2 linked regions of the Mus musculus genome follow. The protein of the gene in region 1 interacts with the protein of each later gene in a biochemical or structural test. Links are inferred from orthologs where the notes say so. Each region holds a gene or a part of one and is shown on either strand. Other genes may lie near its edges.

The links.
Region 2: of the proteins of Gsk3b (region 1) and Lrp6, one has a biochemical effect on the other in vitro, tested with the Homo sapiens proteins (2 studies listed by BioGRID, with this or other methods). The link is inferred for Mus musculus from reciprocal best matches to the Homo sapiens genes GSK3B and LRP6.

Annotation. Positions count from the first base shown.
Region 1 is NC_000082.6:38,188,561-38,195,373, forward strand, and holds part of Gsk3b (glycogen synthase kinase-3 beta), read left to right. Parts: intron 1-2,967; coding exon 2,968-3,074; intron 3,075-5,336; coding exon 5,337-5,434; intron 5,435-6,813. UniProt on the Homo sapiens protein: Constitutively active protein kinase that acts as a negative regulator in the hormonal control of glucose homeostasis, Wnt signaling and regulation of transcription factors and microtubules, by phosphorylating and inactivating glycogen synthase (GYS1 or GYS2), EIF2B, CTNNB1/beta-catenin, APC, AXIN1, DPYSL2/CRMP2, JUN, NFATC1/NFATC, MAPT/TAU and MACF1.
Region 2 is NC_000072.6:134,448,945-134,453,569, forward strand, and holds part of Lrp6 (low-density lipoprotein receptor-related protein 6 precursor), read right to left. Parts: coding exon 4,606-4,625; exon of another isoform or gene 3,762-4,605; intron 2,391-3,761; exon of another isoform or gene 2,137-2,390; coding exon 1,842-2,136; 3' UTR 1-1,841. UniProt on the Homo sapiens protein: Component of the Wnt-Fzd-LRP5-LRP6 complex that triggers beta-catenin signaling through inducing aggregation of receptor-ligand complexes into ribosome-sized signalosomes.

The DNA.
Region 1 (6,813 bases):
AAAAAGAAAGCCACTGTCAGGTCAGTACTGTATGCTTGGTAGCTTTTGTTTTAAAAACACTTTTGTGACTACTTGTGTACAAACATGCGTAATAAACATATGTAATATTCCATTCATGATTATCTGGAATAGGATGTCTTAGGATTATTATGTACTTGGAAAACTTGCATTCTCATTGATTATTCTTCAGTATTCCTTGAGTTTATGTAATATGTATATCTACTCCATCTTCATTACAAATAGATTTTTTAAGTTATACGTTTATATATATATATATATTCCTTTAATTTCATACTTAACCTCTACAGGAGTACAGTAAAATACCAAGATGCAAGATTTTTCTCTATTACTTAATATTTAATGTTTATATTTTTCACTGTTTCCTCATTTTTGCAGATTCTAACAAGTTTGATTTTTTTAAAACCACCAATTTCTTTGTCATATATTGTTACTAGTAGTAAAACCCTCATGCTTTCTCTTTGTGTAGTCAGTAGCTATAAGCCTCCCACCATGCAGTCAAGCCTATATCCACCATAGGACAGACCATCATATTCCTTCTTCCATTCTGCTATAGCCACCAGTGGTAACCTCTGCTCTTTCTCCTGAGACATCTTTCATTATAACTTGGATGCTTTTTCATCCTTGCTAGAATTATTTTTCAATTTAGCACCACAGATTATATATTGACTAGTACCTGCTGGTGTCTGTATTCTTTCCTCTTTATATAGGCTTCTACACCAAACCACAGATTAGATTGTGGGTTTAGCATCAGATACATTTTCCACAGGTGTAGGGAGGTATTTGGAAAAACCGAGCCAATCTGCTGTCAGTAAGTTCATGCTTCGTCTTAGTCATGCAGTTTCTTCCAAACCATTCCTACTTAGCAAGCCCTATCCCAGGATCTCAACTTTGCAGGCTGTGGCTCTAGTGAACACACTAAAGCTTTTATTTGTTGGTTGAATTGTGTGCTACTGCTTATTTCACGTATGAAAAGGCGCCCGAGTCACATGGGGTCTCTTACTGTGGAGAGTAACTGCCAAGACCTGCAAGAGCCACCAAGTGCAAGTTCCTCTTCTCACCACCGAGTCAGAGCACTGTTGTTAGCACTGGGACTCTTGGGAGATAGGGTAGCTGTGCTCTGATACATTTGAAAGAGGGCTTTCACGGGTGTGAAATAGCTCATTCTTTATCAACTCTGAGGTCGGACTTTGGAGACACTTAAGGTGGAAACGTAACAAAACAGCCTTATTTTCTTCTTAATTATTTTTAACTAGGTGTAACAGGTCTGACAGTAGCTGAAATGGGGTGTGAAAACCCCATTTTATAGAGGCTAAGTGGGGTGTCTAAGGACCAGCCTTAGGTGAGACCACAAGGCAGTGTCAACCTCTCACCTACAAAGGAAAAAGTTAGCTTCATCGGTAATGAGGGAAAAGAATATACAGGCTGTCAAGGCTTCCAGTTAGATAATTTGGAGTTATTGGGAAGTTTGTATTTTAGGAATCTGTTTTATCCATTAAGAATGTAGCTCTGGCTGTCATAGCAGCTTGCTGCTTCTGCCTCCATGTAGAGCACTCAGATGCTGAGACTCAAGGCGTGGGCCACCGAGTCCTGCTAGTCATTTGTTTGAGAGCTGGAGTTTAAACTCCACATCACAGACAACTGTGTTTTCAAGGAGCTATCCCAGCCCCAGAATGCACTTCTGAAGAGAGGAAAGTCGGTTATCTAGTACACTAAACCTTGATTTTTTTTTTTTTTTTGAGAGTCTGAAAACCTTACTGTTGTTAATATAGCAAATACTGTTTTATCTGGGCCTAAGAAGAAGGTTAAAATTTGAAACGGATGATGAAAGGAAAAACAAATCAAGTTTAGAGTCATCATTGACTATAAGTAAATTGAAGGAAAAGAAACCCCACCCCAAGACTGTCTCCTCACCTGTCTGGGTCTCCTCCTCCTCACTGTTACCTCAGATTTTTCACCTTTTTTGGCATTTATTTACTTGTTGTTTTTTCCCTCTTTGTTCATTTGGTTTTCTTGCAGTATTTTGTTCTGTATCTGATGCTGCTGTCAGAACAGCTCCTAGAGCGGCCTGCTTTTTTGAGATGGAGTTACCTAAAAAGACATTTCAAGAGATACTGTGACTCACTTCAGTGTTTAAAATATATACTGTAAGCTACTTTAGGAGGAAGGTTTTAATAATATGTAAACTTAGAGCTGCAGAGATGCAGTTGATAGGGTCTGAGTCATTTTCCCCTAAAGTTGAATGCCTTTTCACAGTTTGTTTAGCAGTAGGTGTTTAAACAGTAAACCGACTAGAATGTGGAAGCATGCATGTCTTGGCTGTGTAAGGCTGAGTCGGTCATCCTGAGTCAGAAGACCAAGTTGAACAGAGTGGCCAGATCCCCCACCCCTTTTTTTAAAAAGCGTATAGATGAGGAATATTGATATATTCGCCTATTCTGATCTGGTAATATTCTTTTGTTGGAGAAGACTACTTTTTAATTTTCTGACCTTTATATTTTATTTATTAATTATTTTTGAGACATGGTCTCACTGTATATCCCTGGCTGACCTAGAACTCACTACAAAGTGGCCTCCATCTCACAGAGATTCACCTATCTCTGCCTCCTGAGTGGTGGGATTAAAGGTGCACACCACCATGCCTGTCAGCCATTTAATATTTCACAAGTAGAATTTAGGAAATGGGGAAGCAGAAGAAATTGACCATTTGTATCCTTTTGTAAGTTTTTAATCTCTTTGTTCCTTAGCTAACACCTGACACTCACTTTAAAAATCACTTTTTTAGATATCAGTTTGATGAAATTGTGTATTTCTTTTGTTGGAAACAGTTTCAAGTGTGTGGCATTATTGCAGTCTTACAAGATTTAGATGAACATGTGGTATGTGAATGTAAAAGTAGTCATTTCTTTAAGGTATATATTTTAAAAATGTTTTTTTTTTTTTCATCAGTGCAAAGCAGCTGGTCCGAGGAGAGCCCAATGTTTCATATATCTGTTCTCGGTACTACAGGGCACCAGAGTTGATCTTTGGAGCCACTGATTACACGTCCAGTATAGGTAAGTGCCGGGTCTGAGTGCAGTGGGTGTGACTGTTAACTGCAGCCTGGTTCTTACCAGTTCTCTGACTCAGCGAGGGCAGGGCTGCGGAGGACACCTTTGCAGAAATGAAGAGAGTTCATTTTCTTTCTTACACCTTAGAGTTGATGCCTTTCTGGTTTTATGCTTTTTTAGTATTAGAATTATACAAGTATTACTTTGTATTGTAGTTGCTTAATGCATCTATTTGACGCTAAAGTTTCAAATAATTTTTGATAATCATGTAGAAACATTACTGAGGCAGGGAAGGACGGCAAAAAGACGTGCTCACAGCACGCGTGGAGCTCAGCCACAGCTGCTCGGAAGGAACTTTTGTCTGCTTAGTTACTAATGGGCTCTGTACTAGTTTTCTAGCTCTCCTGAAGTGTTTATTCTTGAGCCTAACCTACTTAGAAAACTTGTTAATTAATAATGTTACTTTTAAAATGTTAATATTATAATTAATAGGGCAGTAATATTTCTGAATTCCTATAATGATGCATCGCTTAATTTTCGAGCAGCTTAATTCATTAGCTTTTCAGGTTTAAAAGTTTCACTGGAGATGTCTAACGATAGAAAGATTAGAGACAGTTGAAATCTTCATTGACCTTATCTTCTTAACCTGTTCTAGTGCAGTTGCTGTGTTAGTAGACAAAAACCCTTCTCCCAATCAGTTTATTTAATGTATCATGGCAGGGGTGGCGGGGAGCTGGGCTTCACTGATGTGGCTGGACTAGCTGACCCGTGGGTCTGAGACCATCCTGTCTTCAGCTCTCTCTACCATAAGCCACCTCCACAGCCCCTTTCACTTTGTTTCTGATTAGAACCTGTTAGTCCTAAATAGAAACTAAAGCATACATATTACACTCCTCCCCCAGGAAAAAAACCCATAGTCATGGGGGCGGGGCAAAAACCAAAATAAAAACAAAACCTGGCTAATTTAGTACAGTGCTTTGTCCTCCTGATACGCACAGCGGTGCGTTGTTCTTTTTCTTTTCAGAAAGGGCAATATGCCAAAGCATCTTTTCGCTGATACTGGTGCTTTTTACACACTAGGTCATTTTATTGTTTATGCTGTTAGTGTAAAGTTACATTCTAGGACCTGAAAATGTCTGCAACACTTAGGGCTCTACAGCCCACACTTGATGAAACCTGCCAGAGGAGAGGAGGGAGGGAGTGTGTGTGGTGCCGTGTGTGGTGCTGTCTTACTGTGGCTGTAGGAACATGGCGTATGTGACTGAATAAGTGAGAAGTGCTGCAGAGAAGCTGACTGGAGAAAACAGTATCTGAGCTGCCACGTGGAGACCCTGATTCTGCCTGCTCTTCATAAAACGTTACTCAAGTACTGTAGGCGACAGTCTTTCCTGGGCTTACTAATTCAGCTGTCTCCAAGAGAAAGTTTAGTCCTTTGTCCTTGCAAATGCCACTGGATACAGTATTTGATTAGTATTCTAGTCAAATATTTGATACTAGTTAGCTATATATGATCTATGCACAAGATAATAGATTGAGTTGTGCCAGGGTCTACAAAAATCTGAACAGTCCTTCTAAAATAATCAGAGCCAGATCACCTGGCACATTGTAGAAAACATGGATTTGGATCTAAGATGCTTGCCTTTTAAATTTGGTTTATGCGTGTGTTTTTGCATGTATGTATGCATACCACATGCATACATTAGTGCCTGTGGAGGTCAGAGAGGGTGTCAAATCTCTGGAGATATAGGTGGTTGTGAGCCATTACATGGATGCTGGGAATTGAACTAGGTTCTGTGCAAGAGCAGCAAGTAGTCTTTCTTAATGGATAAGCCATAACTGTAGCCAGGATCTTGCTTCTTAAGACTTTGTAAGATTTATAGAAGACTGGGTAGGTAGTGTACTTGCCTTTAATCTCAGTACACAGAAAGCAGATGTAGGCAAATCTCTTGTAAATCCAGCCAACCCGGGGCTACATGTACTGAGTCAGTCTCTGTCTCTGTCTCTCTCTTTTCACTCTTTCTCAGGCATACAGAATAGGTTTGTGAAAGTTAAATATTTATAAAAATAATTATTTATTAAAAAATAAAAAGGATTCCAGTATATGAATAGGTACTTTTAAAAAATTAACAATGTTTGGAATGAAACCATCACTGATTTTGACTAAATTATTGTCATATTTGGATTTAATCAATACTATGCGATCTAAGTTAAATATACATTTCACTTCATATTTAGTGTGATAAACTTTTCTTTTGTTTTTTTCTTCAGATGTATGGTCTGCAGGCTGTGTGTTGGCTGAATTGTTGCTAGGACAACCAATATTTCCTGGGGACAGTGGTGTGGATCAGTTGGTGGAAATAATAAAGGTGAGATGGTTGATTTACACTTTTGTACTTTTGAACCAAAAATGTTACACACATACACACACACACACACACACACACACACACAAGCACACAAAGCAATACCTTTACAGTGGGAAAGGAGGCTGGGGACGTGATTCAGAAGTGAAAGCCCTCGAGGTGCAAGCATTAGAAGTAGAGCCAGCTCCCAGAGTAGAGACCCACATGAGTGTTTCCTGGGCTTGTCATTCCCACCCAGAGAGCCCTGAGCAGGCTGCCTGGGAGGAGAAGCCATGTCTACAAGCTCTCCGCTCGATTGAGACCCTGCTTAAATGAATGCAGTGGAGTCGTGACCAAGGACAATTGCTGAGACCTACCTAGCCTTGGGCCTTCATGTACAAGCATATAGAGGATAAAAAAGGAGAAAGGGGTTGTAGGTCATTTAACAAGCTGTGCTACAGAGCAGGTTGGGGAGGGGGGAAACATTGGCTTCCTTTTTTAAAGATTTATTTTTATTGTATGGATTCCTTTCCTTTCCTTCTTTCTCTCTCTCTCTCCCCCCCCCCCTCTTTTTGGCCTGTATGTGCATTTGTGTATTACATGTGTTCATAGTGCTCTCCAAGGCTAGTAGAGAGTGTTGGATCGTTTGGATTCTCAGACTGGAAGGATTACAGATCATTGTAAGCCGCTGCCACATGGGTTCTGGGAATCAAACGTCTGGGAAAACAGTCTGTGCTAAGACACCTTTCCAGCCACGTGATCAGATTATTTTAAGATCTGTGTCATAATTTAACATTGCTTTTCCTTTTAATATCAGGAAAAATAGGGATTTAAAGCTACTGGGTCCAAATATAGTTGAAGAGGTCATCTTCCCTAACTCTCTGGAATTGGGTTTCACAGCTGAGACCACTGTGGTCACCTCTTTTTGTTGTTGTTGTTGTGTTGGAAAACAGGGTTTTCCATGTAGCCCTGGTTATCTTGGAACTCACTCTATAGACAATGCTGGCCTTGCACTTTCAGGCTGAACTCTTAACTTTGTCAACAATACTGCTTTCTTCTTACTGATTAGAAACAAGTGGTAGAAATCATGTAAGGACAAAGCAATCTTGGAGAAGGGCTTTTTCAAATGTACAAAGTACTCTTCAGTATTTATGAGACCCTTTGTACTTTTTAAATATATGTGTGTGATACATACAAGAGAAACATGAAAGAAGTCCTAGTTCCAGTATTACGCTAGGATTATTGAACTGGTGTTCAGTTCTTAGAAGAAATAAGAACTAGGCATTAGATACAGAGACCTCCTGTGTATCTCAAAGGGAGTGATACATTTTTGTTATCATTCTCTCATATATTACATCCCAACTTCAGCTTCCCCTCCCTCTTCTCATCCCAATCTCTCCCTC
Region 2 (4,625 bases), on another chromosome or scaffold:
CTTATCTGACTGAAATGCAGGACACAGGTAGATTGCCCTTTACTTAGATGCAAGGCCCCTGATTCTCACTAAGCTGTCCACAACAACTACGCATTAGTCAGAAAGGAGTTTTTTCTCTTTAAAAACGTTCTTAGGCGTTTTGTTTTGTTTTTTTAAAGTCGCTCAAACTCTGCCAAATTCTGAAATCAATTCTTTCATTGTTTCCCCTTAGGCTCTGAAATTCATAGCTACAATTCAATATATAATTTTTAAAATGTATTCAATAATTAATCGACACCTGTTAAGGTAAAAATCATACTAGCTTAAAAAAAGTTCAGCTTTAGGAGAGGAGTGCTAGGCACATGTGAAAGCAGGAAACTAGTCCCCAGCAGGGTCATCCCACAGCCAGCCCCAACAGTGACAGACATAGCGGCCCGGTATGTGACAGTAGGTCAGGCATGTGACAGGAGACTTCCATTGTCTCCACTGCTCAAATTTCTGCAGCTGAGAAGTTCACGGTGTCTTCTCATTTAATCCCACTGTTAAATCTGTGAAATTATCTTAATCCATAATGGGGTAGGAGAGAGCACACAGAGAGACACAGGAGGAGACTAAGGACAGACTGTGGGCCGTGTGAACACACTCATTCACAGCGCATACCGAGAAGCTACCTCACAGCACATCGGCAGAGCTATGCCTGCAAACATCACTCTGAGAAAAGCTGGTCCACAGAAAGTGAAAATGTCACAAACAGTTCATCTAGGGGACGCCTACTAACAATAAGAATTTCTGTTTAAACAGACTGTTTCTAACGAGAGCACATTGAAATGTTTTACTAACAAAATACATAAAATGATTTCACACTGTGATATTGTATGCTGCAAGGATACAAAGCTAATTTACAAGAATATAACAGTTAGATTTGTGATTTTTAAGCATTCTTATATGTTCTAAAAAGACACTTTAATGAGCATTAAAACAATTGTGGAAGACCAATAATATGGCTAACTTTTGATTATGCAAAAACAGCCAACAACTTAAAAACTCAGCCAATTGCTGAACGAACAGAGTAGGTATACTGAAATCAATTCAATTTCGTGTTTAGTAAATTCCATTTAATCAACTCCTCAGATTAAAAAGCTTAAATAAATCATGGCTCTTGGCAAAACAGTCTCCAAGGTGTTGGGAGGCAGACCGTGAGAACAGCTGGTGTTACCATGGACTGTGACAGGCGAGAGCTCTCAGCAGCTCCCGCGAGAGACGCTTCAGCTCCTACAACAGCAGCACTCAAAACGGATCTCACAACTATCTATTTTCCTCGTGAAAATTGCTGGATTCCTGGAGAAAACAAAGCCCTGTGTCCAAAGTTAGTACTGTTATTTCTTCTTTCATGGGTTCTCGACTTGTCGGCCCTCAAATGTTAGTTAACCCAAAGGCAATTTGGCTACTTCCAAGTTTGCTACTCTAAGATGGAATTACTTTCTCCTTTTTATTTTTTGGTATCGTTAAAACCCAGACACTCCTGGTCAGTGATGCCTTTCTTTTCCTGTTTCCTTTGTACTCAGTCTCTTCACTGGGCTTAAGGCATGCTCTGTGTATTTAGTTTGCAAAAATAAAACTTTTAGTACAAATTTATTTTTTATACAAACTTTTATGGCACAAGCAGCAAAACTGCTGTTTTAAGAAAATATATAAATATTCTTTTCTTCTGTACAAATATCTCCAGCACCCACCCACTTTATAATGTTAACTGTACAGAGTCTGCCTCACTCTTCTCTATAGCTCCCTCCCCCCCTCCAGATCTCAACCAGATGTGTATTTACATGTCCCGGTGGAGGCAGTCAGAGGAGGAGGGGCCCTCCTCAGGAGGAGTCCGTGCAGGGGGAGGGTGGTGGCGGGTAGAGGTGGTGGGAGTAACTCCTCTCCGTGTATGGGGAAGGGGGGCAGCTTTCATAGTTCTCCTCCGCTGACAAGTACTGGCTTCGGGGTGTGGGCGGTGGGGGCACAGGTTCTGAGTCATAGTTCACGTCACTGGTGTAGCCCTTGGCTGTTGCCACCGAGGTCATCCTCCGGCTAGGAGCATAGTCACTGTCACAGACATCAGTGCTGCAGGGTGTGGTGGGCGGTGCAAAGTGCCGGTAGCTGTACGGCCTATAGCTAGAGCAGGAAAGCAATAGAGCACTGCGTTAGTTTTATAGAAGCAGACTGCATCAGAAATCAGTCTGAAGGCTGGGAGCTGGTGCAGTCGAAATCTGTGTAGGGGATGGGTAGTTCGCGTGACTGCTGTGTGCAGTGAGCCCATGGGTTCAATCCCCAAAACCATCACAACCAAAGAGCCACTGCTCTTCACAGACATGGATGGAGAGGCAACGAATAGCACATCAACAAAGGAAGACCTACGCAAGTAAAATGTAAGTAGAGGCAAGTAAAAAGGGATGGAGTTGGAGAGCAGAGAGGAACTCAATTGGGCCCCAAATAGCTCTTCTATCTTGAGGTAAATCTAGATGCGTGTGCTTGCTGTGCACGAGGCCCTGGGTTTGACCCCCAGACATATTGAAAAATAAAAATAAAAAAAGAATAAAAGCAAACCAACTCAAGAGCTGTACCTATCGATGCACTTTAGAAAAGCACTCTGGTTTTCACTGGTGCCGGGAACTGAGCCAGGGCCTTTCCCCCAGAGCAAGTGGTCTACTCTCAGCTCCAGCCTTGGTGGTCTAACCTCTGCCACACACCTCGCACTCATGATCTCAGCAGCTCCTGGAGCAGCAGTGTGTAGAATGGGTCTTCACAGTCTACGCTCTCACATTCTTCAGTCATTCATAATTTGCCTGATAGGTAAGTTATGATGTCTGAAGACTTCATTTCTTTTCAAAGTAAAATATTACACGATTCAGGCTAAACTCCCAGTGAGGGCAGATCTATCCCATCACTATCATGTGCAAAGGGAAACCCTTCTAACTTGCAAGTAGTCGTTTTGATTTCTGTGGGTACCCGGGTATACAGTCCTAAGTATGGTTTCAATTATCAAAACGATCAATTTAAATACTCAGACAGTGCGTGAACTTTATAACAGAACAAGAGTCTAACATGCTTACACTTGTTTACCTACCTTCTTAAGTAACCTACAGTTCATAAATTTGAAATGTAATTATCTAAAAAAAAGTGCCGTGGTGAGGAACACTCCATGAAGGCAGAGCCGACTACAACACTGACTTATCCCCGGATGACCTCTTAGGACTCTAATTGTAAATATGGTTAAGCTTATCTTATACTTATCCTAAAGATTCATGCATTTACTGTCTCTAAAATACACTGACTGCAAGACCAGGGGCAAGGGCCAGAATAACTGACAGGGAGCTCATAAGCTTCCTGGGGGCACAGCACCCAGAATTTGCTGCCCGCAGCCTGGCCCCGCAGCCGCCCTGAGCAGGATTGGGGCTTGCAGCTTCAGTCCAGCCAGGACACTGTCAGAGCGCTTTTCCTGTTCTGTTTCACCTTTCTGTCCAAGCAGGTGTCAAAGGCTAGCAAGATTTTTGGAATCAGAATTTTAAAAGCTAAATACTTCCAGTCTTATAAGAAAAGGAAAAAAAGAAAATTGGTCAACAAAATTCTGTAAATCTAAAAATCATGGCAAATGACAAAAAGGTTAAGACAGATTTTAGACCTAATACAGGAAATGATTTAAAAACTGTTTCATACTTTGATCTATGTTTTATTCTAGCAGAATTAAATAAGTTGTAAATAAATAATTTTAGGTTCTGGTTCTCCTTTTCAATTTTCAGGCCTTTCTCTGCTTTTGATTAGAACATGCCTGGGGCATTCACGACCTTACAGTAACTCATGGACAGACCTATTGGATGGAGCCAGCCCTATTGGTCCTAGCTGACGCTGGCAGGCAGTTTCCACTGTACCTCCGTCTCTGCAGTCACCCTGATCCACGTGACTGAAAGCAAACATTATTCTAATGGCATCGGCACTGAGGCCTGCAGACACAGAATGTAGCACTCCCGACCTTCTGCTGATGTTTGAAGAGCTTGGAAGAGTGACCTGCTCAGCACACTCACATGAAGACAGGCCACCATTTCCTGTTGCCACTTACAAATATGCTCTGTTCATTTTAAGGAAACTTGTTTATAACAGGCAACTAACTACATAAAACTTTCATTCCAGGTCACAGTGACGTATGTAAACATGGACCAAGCTTCTTCTCATTTCTCTTTCAATGTGATGCTCCTGCTGTATGCAAGTTCTCACGACGCTCTGAACTGTCTTGCCTAGTTCTCAACTGCATTACTCAGCTTGTGTAACTGCCTATTAAAATACAGAATGGGTCTGGAAAAGAAGGCTCAACAGTTAAAAGCAGTGACTGCTCTTCCAGAGGTCCTGAGTTCAATTCCCTGCAACCACATGGTGGCTCACAACCATCTCTGATGTGATCTGATTCCCTCTTCTAGTGTGTATCTGAAGACAGCTACAGTGTACTCATATACATAAAATAGATAAATAGATCTTTTTTTTTAAAAAATGCCCAGAGAAAGAAAGGATTTACAGGTGAACAAAAATCCTGTTCTTTGGTGATCATGGTCTGTATGTTCACAAACAGAATATGGAAAGGGTGTGTCTTACCTGTAGGACCTATGTGTGGA